2 linked regions of the Coturnix japonica genome follow. Each later gene encodes a partner of the first gene's protein in a complex. Links are inferred from orthologs where the notes say so. Each region holds a gene or a part of one and is shown in the gene's direction. Other genes may lie near its edges.

Evidence for each region. Proteins that work in one complex are often made in the same cells at the same time.
Region 2: EIF3I (region 1) and EIF3L share a complex: the UniProt entries of both Homo sapiens proteins name them as parts of the eukaryotic translation initiation factor 3 (eIF-3) complex. The link is inferred for Coturnix japonica from reciprocal best matches to the Homo sapiens genes EIF3I and EIF3L.

Annotation. Positions count from the first base shown.
Region 1 is NC_029538.1:4,527,312-4,532,404, reverse strand, and holds the start of EIF3I (eukaryotic translation initiation factor 3 subunit I), read left to right. Parts: upstream 1-1,750; 5' UTR 1,751-1,778; coding exon of another isoform or gene 1,779-1,791; 5' UTR 1,792-1,865; coding exon 1,866-1,868; exon of another isoform or gene 1,869-1,872; intron 1,873-2,031; coding exon 2,032-2,124; intron 2,125-2,250; coding exon 2,251-2,338; intron 2,339-2,590; coding exon 2,591-2,656; intron 2,657-2,965; coding exon 2,966-3,115; intron 3,116-3,219; coding exon 3,220-3,347; intron 3,348-3,625; coding exon 3,626-3,736; intron 3,737-4,013; coding exon 4,014-4,103; intron 4,104-4,358; coding exon 4,359-4,432; intron 4,433-4,590; coding exon 4,591-4,683; intron 4,684-4,977; coding exon 4,978-5,059; 3' UTR 5,060-5,093. Other genes in the region: TMEM234 (transmembrane protein 234), read right to left, coding at 252-313, 759-851, 1,138-1,204, 1,489-1,640, 1,779-1,791. UniProt on the Homo sapiens protein: Component of the eukaryotic translation initiation factor 3 (eIF-3) complex, which is required for several steps in the initiation of protein synthesis.
Region 2 is NC_029516.1:46,630,432-46,635,456, reverse strand, and holds the start of EIF3L (eukaryotic translation initiation factor 3 subunit L), read left to right. Parts: upstream 1-1,915; 5' UTR 1,916-2,007; coding exon 2,008-2,040; intron 2,041-2,133; coding exon 2,134-2,182; intron 2,183-2,259; coding exon 2,260-2,470; intron 2,471-3,116; coding exon 3,117-3,196; intron 3,197-3,469; coding exon 3,470-3,531; intron 3,532-4,836; coding exon 4,837-4,906; intron 4,907-5,025. Other genes in the region: ANKRD54 (ankyrin repeat domain-containing protein 54), read right to left, coding at 1-22, 405-476, 682-780, 1,442-1,489, 1,572-1,779. UniProt on the Homo sapiens protein: Component of the eukaryotic translation initiation factor 3 (eIF-3) complex, which is required for several steps in the initiation of protein synthesis.

The DNA of each region.
Region 1 (5,093 bases):
AGTGCTGAACAAGGCAATTCAATCATCCCTGCCTTGAACCACCCACAGAAAAAAAAGCATCCTTAACTCAAGGCATTAAATAGGATGTCATTGCAATGTGCCTTGTTCCTCTCTGGTACTCAGGGAATTTGATCCACACTTTCAGACAGCCAGGTGTCAGAACAGCTTCCTTGAGGCAGCTGAGCCAAAAGTTTCCCCTCTTCAAACATCAGTTACCTTAGAACAGGTTTCCTCTGCTCACTGTGCCTTGGTCATGAACCAGCTACACAGAGGGTGAGTCCCAGGAGGGTGAGCAGCATCCCTGCCACAGCCCCTGCAGAGATACAGAGTTCTGTGTTGGGAACATACACAGCTCAACACAGTCAGCCCCCATCATTGCTGAATATGTGATTCAGTCAGGAAAAAAGATGGCCTAAATGGATGTGAGCCAAACTGGTACTTATTGCTACTATTCAGTTTTCAAGTTTCCTGTTATTTCCCAACTTCTTAAGCAGGATAATGTTAGTGTATGGACATTTCTCTTATGGTTAAATACATCATTAGGTGAAGGCTCAGGCCTACAAGTTCTGCTAGCTTAAAACAGCCAGTTCCAGCCAATTTAAATTCACTAGCTCTACCCCCTTACAAGTCAGTTTCACTTCCTTTTCAGCTTCCTTGCACAAACTACTGCCTAAGCAGTTACCAGAAGGGAGCACACAACATTAAAACAACAAATAGATGCAGAATACAACGTGCCAAATGTTTTAAGCGTAACTTACTTTTACCACCAATATCCTCTCCCAAAATCCTTCCAGTCACCAGCGTGACTATCAGAGCCAGGGAGTTACAGAGCGGCACTGCCAGGGACAGCTCTGAAATTGAACAATTGTAACACGGTTTGAAATGGATGCGTCCTTCATTCAAAGACATCTACTTGAATCCCCCTGTGGCACAAGTGGTAGAAGTGCCGCTCTGCTACACAGGAGGCTCGAATCCCGGGGGTTGGACTCGATGATCTCTAAGGTCCCTTCCAACCCACACCAGACTGTGATACTATGATGATGATACTTGATGTTCAGCCAGATCACCAAATGAATCAGTAATACAGCTCCTCCCCAAACCCTGATCAACCCACTGGACAAAGCAGTGAGAGCTGACCTGCAGATGCCAAGGTGAGGTAGAAGAGGAGCGATCCACATTGGTTCAGCAGGAATGGCACCATGTACTGCGGAAAGAAGACAGGTCACTGCATGGAAAAGCATTGCAATGCCTGCAGCAAGCAGTGCAAGCCTTGGATGCCATGTCTGCAGAAGGCAGGCAGGTCTGAATGTGAAATATGAGGGTTAATTTCTACAAGTGTCTAAGTTCTCCATAAGAAGAGCAGGACTGCAGGTGGGTAGATGAAATGTTATAGAGTACAAATCATTTTGCTGATAGATGGGAGGTGCTGAGTGCAGGAAGGAGCATGAAGGCCCGTCCCATACACCCCATGATTCCGGCTGTGCTCACCTTGTAGTTGCAGCCCAGGAACCTGATCTCGGCCAGCAGCTGCCGTAGGAGCCCCCGGCGCTGCACGTCCAACAGCCCCGCCGCTCCCGTCCGTAGGAACGGCCCGGTGCTGCCCCATAGAACCGACACCAGCACCAGCACGGCGGCCTGCCCTGCAGCACAACATCAGCTCAGCCCCGGGGCTGTTGGCCCGGCCGCCATCAGCCCGCAGCCCCCTCACACAGCCCACCCCGTCCCCTCAGCCCCTCCGGGATCCACCCGAGGCCCGTCCCCCAAACCCGGAAGCTCACCGGCGGCCGCCATAGCGCCCCGTGACCCGGACGTGATACTCCACGCCTCTTCTCTCTCGCTCCGGTTCCGGCAGCGCCGTGTCCGCCATGGTGAGTCGGGTTGTGGGCCGGGCCGGGCTGATGCGGGTCCCGGCTGGGTCCTGGGGTCGGCGGGGCTCCTGGGCTGATGGTGGTGGCAGCCTGAGCCCCAGCCGGGGCCTCGGCCTCGCTTGGCATAGCGTTAAATGGCGCCTTCCCTCATTGCCGCGTGCAGAAGCCGATCCTGCTGCAGGGCCACGAGCGATCCATCACACAGATCAAGTACAACCGAGAGGGAGACCTGCTGTTCACTGTGGCCAAGGATCCCGTGAGTGAACCGGGGGCACCGGGAAACCGGGCTGTGTGCGATGGGGGGGGAGGGATAAAGGTGGGTAATTAACGAGCTCAGGTAATTGGTCAGAGCGGCTCTTCAAGCCTTTTTATCTTCTTTTAGATCGTCAACGTTTGGTACTCGGTGAATGGAGAACGGCTGGGCACCTACAATGGGCACACAGGAGCCGTGTGGTGTGTGGATGCTGACTGTATCCTTTGGGTGCACAACCAGTTTGTGCTCTCGTTCCTTGCAGTGATTCAGCACGGATGGCTCCATTCAGCTGCTGTGTTTAATTGTCCCTTGTGCCATCTCTTGGTTATTTGTGCTCCTTGGGAAGTTTCCCAAGTCCTGTAATTTCTCAATGTAACGCAGCTTCTTAATCTTGTGTGTAAATACTCCCTGGGTATCTAATGATTTTTGGGGCTGCAAACGTGCTGATATCCCTTAACTGCTGACCAAGGGGACACCCGACATGTGCTCACTGGCTCTGCAGATAACAGCTGTCGGCTCTGGGACTGTGAAACAGGTAAAGGCTCTTCTCTCCCACGTGGCTGGATCTGACTCAGCTCTGTCCTGTTCTGGGATCTGTGCAACATGTGCCTGTTTGCCCCTGAAAGAGCCCAAGTCCTTTCTTGGCTGTTTGTGTATTTGCCTTATTTTCAATGGGCACTTATTCATTTTGCTCACCAAGCACATTTAGTGCTTTCCAGTCACCCAACCTGTCTGTCAGCTCTGATGCTCCTGTTCTTTCTATGACTGCACTTCTGTTTGATTGCTTTCATTAATGTTTGCAATGCAAGACCAAGTGAAGTGATGGTTTCTGCTCCGTGTTCAGGAAAGCAGCTCGCTCTGGTGAAGACCAGCTCGGCAGTGAGGACGTGTGGCTTTGACTTTGGAGGAAACATCATCATGTTTTCCACGGACAAGCAGATGGGTTATCAGTGTTTTGTGAGCTTCTTTGACCTGCGTGACCCCAGCCAAATCGGTGAGGAATCCGGGCCTGTGCCTGCAACTGGGAATAAGGGGAAGCGTTGGCTGCCAAGAGCTGGTGCCACTCAGTCTGTGTGTCTCCATCCTTCCTTCCTGCAGAGAACAACGAGCCTTACATGAAAATCCCCTGCAGCGACTCTAAAATCACTAGTGCTGTGTGGGGCCCTTTGGGAGAATTCATCATCGCAGGACACGAGAGTGGGGAGCTGAACCAGTTCAGTGCCAAGGTCAGTGTGATAAGGAGGAGCATCACCCTCAGGCAGCAACTCTTGGGAGAGGATGTTGCAACGTTCCTGTTGTGATCATGTGGCAGAATGTGGGTTTTTTTGGCTCAAACCAGTGGCCTTGAGGAAGGATAGTTAAAGTATGTGGCTTTCTTCAGCAAAGCTGAACATATATATGCCTACCTTTCTGCTGACAGCAACATCTAAAGTCGGTTTTAGCAGAGAAGTTGTTTGTACACTTTCCTTGCCAGTTCACTTAAACTGCCTCGTTTACCCTTCAGTCAGGGGAGCAGCTTTCAAACATCAAGGAGCACACCAAGCAAATCAATGATATTCAGACCTCCAGGGACATGACCATGTTCATCACTGCCTCCAAGGATAACACTGCCAAGGTGAGGCCTCCTGGGGGGACTGCGGTGCATTGCTGACATCCGCTTGCAGGACCCCTGCTCAAAGTCATGGCTGCCTCAGTGGTTTTCTCTTTGGGAATTTGAGCAGGTGTAGAGCCAAAGCTTAGTGGGAGGGCTGATATTTGGGATTCTGGAGCAATAGCTTTGACATTTGGATGCCCAGGAGTGACTTTAGAAGTAACACCTGCTCATGTGAGGACTGGCAGCTGGGGTTTGCATGAGATACTTGGACTGCCACTCTCTTCCTTTTGCATTTTAGCTATTTGACTGCACAACGCTGGAACATCTGAAGACATTCCGGACAGAGCGACCGGTGAACTCTGCTGCACTCTCCCCCATTTTTGATCACGTAAGCATGAGCCCACGCATACTAACGGTCTTAGTGCAGCTCCTGCATTGTCTCAGGCAGCTGGAAGGCACAGTGTCACCAGTTCAGCCTGAGCTAAAGAATCACTGTGGGACAGGGCCAGGGGACTTGACTGCTGTCATGGGCTGTGCTGGGTTAGTGGGAGGCTTCCCCAAGGCTGGGCTCCCTCCTACCCTGGCTGTTGTTCCACATATGGTGTAAGCAGCACTGCAGTGTTGTGACTTTCTTCCTATGCAGGTTGTGCTCGGTGGTGGGCAGGAGGCCATGGATGTGACCACGACCTCCACCAGGATTGGCAAATTTGAGGCAAGGTTGGTGCTCTTCTCTGGCAGGGCTGAGTCTGCACTTGGAGTTCTCTCCTGCTCCCAGAGCGTCTTGCTATTGGCAGCATTTGGAGAGTTACTAGAATTGCAGAGCTTCTCTGAGGAAACCCTGATGACATCCCTAACCTGCCTCTTTCTTCTCCCAGATTCTTCCACTTGGCTTTTGAAGAAGAGTTTGGCAGAGTGAAGGGTCATTTTGGTCCGATAAATAGTGTTGCTTTTCACCCTGATGGGAAGAGGTGAGAATCTCTGGGGGTCTCCAGCACGTCCCCACCAAACGTGGTCTGTTCTGATTAGGATATGGCTGGATTCACTCTGAACTGCAGTGGGGATGGAGCCTGCTCCTTCCTGAATTCTGCCATTCCACCCCTTTTGCCCCCCATCACACTGGATGTGGGGAGTCACTGATGCCCAGTTGTGCATGTTGGCTGTTGTTTTTATTAGCTTTTGGATTCCATCTCTTACTAGTTTAAATCTGTACATGGTGAGTTCCTGACAAGATTGGTGACTGTCTTGTCTTTTCTCCCATGCAGTTACAGCAGTGGTGGTGAAGATGGCTACGTTCGCATCCATTATTTTGATCCCCAGTACTTTGAGTTTGAGTTTGAAGCTTAAAGGAGGATGAATTATCTTCTTTCCTCTTCCAATC
Region 2 (5,025 bases), on another chromosome or scaffold:
GGAACATGGTTCGTGCAGGCAGCTGGGGAGGGAAAACACAGGACACACAACTCAGAGGTATTAGCAAACAACAATGGAGTTTCTGCCATACAAAACAAAGGTTTTTCTGCCATAAAAAAGAGGAACAGCTCCACCATTAAGTATAACTCATGCTCAAGCTTGGATACTTTTGTTATGCATCTCGTGCTCCTCAGGATGGGCAGAGGGAGGGAAATGGATTTTCTCTAACTCTGACCTTTAAGTTCTCCTGAGGGGTGATGTGAATAAAATGCTAAGAATCCTAAGTCATTAAAGCTGGGGATGCATAGTGTGATGCAAGAGGAAAAAGGAAGATGCAGAGGACAAATAAAATGCAGCGGTCACCTCATTTCTCTGCATGCAAAGCTCATCTGACTGGCACTTACCCAAATGTAAAGGGGTGTTTCCCAGCCCATCTCTCTGATTTGGGTCAGCCCCGTGATCCAGAAGCAGTTGTACTGGAAGCAATAACACAGATACACGTTAATTCCTTTCCTCTGCCCCACTGACAGCACCTTAATGGCGTAAGAAAGGTCATTTAGCAGTGCGCTGCTGACCCACTAGTCCATGTGGCAGCTTGCAGGCTGCAGAAGGGATGTTTCTGTCCAGCTTATGCAGACAGTAAATGGAAAATGGATGACTGAAGATCCCCTTCCCACTCACCAATGTGATCATTGCCATTGCAGGAGGCAAAGTGCAGGGCTGTCCGGCCTTTGTCATCCGCAGCACAGGGGTCAGTTCCATCCTCCAGCAGTTGCTGCACTGGCAGTGCCAAGAAAGAAAAGGATGCAGGTAAGTTGAAGGGACACCTGATCAGAAAGGGGTGATGCTACCAGCTCTTCTGCAGGTAAGTATGGACCCTGCACAAGGTCAGAGCTCACAGATGAATGCATCCATCAGTTCATGAAACAAGGTGTACTGTAAAGCTGGAGGGTACAACATCACCCCATCCTGTAATGCCAGGGGTTGTTACAAATCCCGTCTATTTCCGATTGTTCACAACATGGTCTGATAACAGACAAAGGAGGAACCACGACAGGGGGCAAATGACATATGCCAGTATTGCTGATGAATGCTTAGGATCAAAACCCAGCTGATCTACAGTACATGGAAGTCAAGAGAGTCACAGAGCTGATGAGTGGGCAAAAGTTACGTACCAAAAAGCTGGAATAACAGCTGATTGCTAATCTAGCCTGAGGCAGCTGGACCCAATACAGTGAAAAAATCAATATAACAATCAGTCTCACTCTGCTCAGAGAACGGAACAAAAGGCTCAAGAGAAGCAACTTCTAGATCTTCAGCAACTAAAGGAAGATTCCTGCAAACTACCTGCACCTTCCTTCTCCTCGTCCTCTGCTGAAACAAAGAGCTTTGAACAAACTGCCTTTCCAGGAAGTGGCTTCACGTCAGGTTGAAGTCTCACCTGTGTCCAGGTCGTTGCCATTGGCAGCCTCACGCAGCCTCTTCAGGGCTGGGGAGGAAAGAAAGCCATTAGTGTGAAGCACGGAGGAGGAAGGGGGCAGGGGAGGAAGGGGGAACCCGCTCCCGCTCACCGTGGCTCTCCTTGCCCGTAGGCCCCAGGCGACGGTGGATGCGGGCGGCCCTGCGCAGGCGGCGGGCCGGGATCTTGCCGGCAGGTTCCTCTCGCTGCCACAGGACGTGCAGGTAGCCGAGGGAGGCTTCCCCCGCCGCCCCTCCCAGCGCCATCCCGGCTCCCAGAGCGGACTCCGACTCCGTCCCCGCAGCAGACTCGGCCTCCATTCCCTCACGGGCCGGGCCGGGCGGTACGGGGTGTGAGGGGAGGGGCGGGAAGGGTCGTCGCTGACATAGTGCAGACGGGCAGGCGGACTCTGCAATCAGAGAGAAAAGCCTCTGAAGACAAGCAGTTATTTTAACCAATAGAGAGACTAAACAAATTCGGCCGGCCTTCCGGAGCGTGCCGCTTGGTCCCACCTCCTCTTCCTGCCTGCCCAGGCCCCGCGCCGCGCCATGGCCTACCCGGGGGAGGACTACGACAACGATGTGCGAGCGGGGGGCGGGCTGCGGGGATGGGGGGGGGTTTGTGGGTCCGGTTCGTGCTCGTCGCGGTAACATCCCCGCATCGTGTCTTCACAGGCCGCCTACGACCCGTACGCCTACTCCAACGACTATGATATGCACACGGGTGAGTGCGCGGTGCGGGCCGCCCCGCGGGGTGGGGGCTGTAGGCCTCGGGCTTACAACCCGCCTCTTTCCCTTCAGGAGACCCGAAGCAGGATCTGGCCTACGAGCGGCAGTACGAGCAGCAGACGTACCAGGTGATCCCCGAGGTCATCAAGAACTTCATCCAGTACTTCCACAAGACCGTGTCCGACCTCATCGACCAGAAGGTGTACGAGCTGCAGGCCAGCCGAGTCTCCAGCGATGTCATTGACCAGAAGGTGTATGAGATCCAGGACATCTATGAGAACAGGTGCGGGGCTGTCCTTGCATTCTCACTGCTTAAAACCTCCCATACTTAAAGGCCCCGGGCCCCCGGTATGAGAAAGATGTAGAGCTGTTGGAGTGGGTCCAGGGGAAGGCCACCTCTGGAGTACCTCTTCTGTGAAGAAAGGATGGGAGCTGGGCTTGTTCAGCCTGGAGACCTCATTGCAGCCTTCCAGTACTTGAAGGGAGCTTACCCACAGGAGGGAACTCGGCTTTTTTACATGGGCAGATAGTGATAGGACAAGGGCAACAGTTGAAAACTAAAATTAGATGTGATAGTTTTTCACTGTGAGGCTGTTGAGGCATTGGAGCAGCCCAGAGAGGTTCTGGATGCCCAGTCCTTAGAAGTGTTCAAGGCCGGGTTGGATAGGACCCAGGGCAACTCAGTCTGGTAGCTGATTTAGTTGTCGGTAATACTGATGCAAACTAGATGATCTTTAAGGTTCTTTCCAACCCAAGCCATTCTATGGTCAGTTTTTTAACTGCTTTGTTTGCCATTCTAATTCCTTAGTAACACCAGTTTTGAAGGGAGACAGTGTCCTATCAAGTCCAAGCCCTTTGTACTGTGGTTTCTAACTGCAGCTCTGTGATGCTCAGGGATGTTTTCTCATACCCCACGTCTTATCTTTCAGCTGGACAAAGCTAACAGAAAGGTTTTTCAAGAACACCCCATGGCCAGAGGCAGAGGCCATTGCCCCACAGGTTGGAAATGGTAAGCATTTCTTTTCCACTCTGTTTTCCTTACAGGAGAATGAAGGAACTAAATTACTTTTGATGTGTTAGGGAGCTGGCATGTGGTTTTTATGAATCACTCATCTTTGCTATGGCAGCTCCTTCTGTAGATGCCTATCAGAAAGTCAGATGAATGAGCATCCTCTTTTACTTGTCCTTGTAACTGTGGCAGTAGGAACATCACCGGTGCCTCAGAGATCCAGTTGCCTAAGCTTCATGGTTTGCTGATATCCAGTTCTCTCATCTCTTCCAGATGCAGTTTTCCTCATCCTGTACAAGGAGCTGTATTATAGGCATATCTACGCCAAAGTCAGCGTGAGTATTTGCTCTGTGTCTTTTAGTTGCGCTTGGTTCTTCTGCCATCAAAGTGAACAAGTTGCACTGCTGTTAAAGCATCAGTGGTTCCAAAGTTTTGCAAAACAATATTGAATAGATTTAGGAGGTATGGGTCGAGTTAGAAATAGCTGAATTTTCTCTCTGTTAGAGCTGTATAACTGCATGACTTACAGGTCAGTTTTGTGTGTTTCTTCATGACTCTTTATTTCTTCTTCAGGCTAGCAGGTGTATGAGGGGGTGTCACAAGAGGAGTTTGAGTTACTTGTAATTGAAAGACCATACGGGGTCAGAGTGTTTTGTGGATAGGAAGAAACTGGCACCACAGAGGATACAGGAGAAGAAGACAGAAGGAATAATGGTCTATTAAAAAAACAACAACAACAAACCATGCTTCTTTCCCTTAAAAAGGCTAATTTGAAGTCAGTAGGAAAATCAGAGTAGTTCTTGGCTGTAAGAAAGAAGCAGGACAGGTGTGTGACTTACATGGTGAATGAGTAATAATTGCAGTTTTGGTTTGGACCACAGGGTGGAGAAATGGGTTAATGCAGGAGTCTTTTTGAAGTTCCTAAATCAAAGACTTGCCTGAACAGGTGAAACTGGTTGCTTGAGTTATTTTGTAGGAGGTTCCCAAGCTGCCCATGGGGTGTCTACAGGTGACACAAGATAATTCTAGGAAGAGTGATTCCCTCCTGTGTTTATCGGTCTTCTAGAGCATTTAAAACTTATTCTTTATGCAGAGGGCGGTGAGGCACTGGCACTGCTGCCCAGAGAGCTGTGGGTGCCCCATCCCTGGAGGTTCAAGGCTAGGTTGGATGGGGGCTGAACTGGTGGCCCTGTCCACAGCAGGGTCCCTTCCAAGCTATTCTATGATTCTTTGGTATGATTGTCTAGAAGCAGCTGTGTTGTTGGGATTTACAAAGACCTTCCTTGAGGGGAAGAGGACAAAAAGCTGTGTAGGTTAATAGGCAGTTCTTAGGTCTGGACAGCACAGAGGAGGAAAAGGAGACTTAAAGTATTCTATTCACATGAGACTTCATCACTTAGTTGTACTAGAAGCTACCTGGACTTGAAAAGGCAGCCTTCTTCTACTGGACAACAGTGAGACAATTTAATTTGTTCTGGGTGATGTTAGTGATTGGTGGGTGGTTGAATATCAGCTCTAATGTCACCAAAACAGATCTATTGCCTTGACTGTTGGCTGTCCTTTGTAGGCTATTGCCCATAAAGGACCATTAGTTTTGCTGTACTTCAGACTAAATGGACTGTAATGTCTTCTCGCTGCAGGGGGGGCCCACTCTGGAGCAGAGATTTGAATCTTACTACAACTACTGCAATCTTTTCAACTACATCCTCAGTGAGTTGCTGCAATTAATCATTGGTTTGTGACTTTTGGAGAAGACCGAATGCAGAGGATTAAGGCAGAGAAAGGGAGATAAACCAAAACATATTTATTTATAGATCACAAGCAGATAA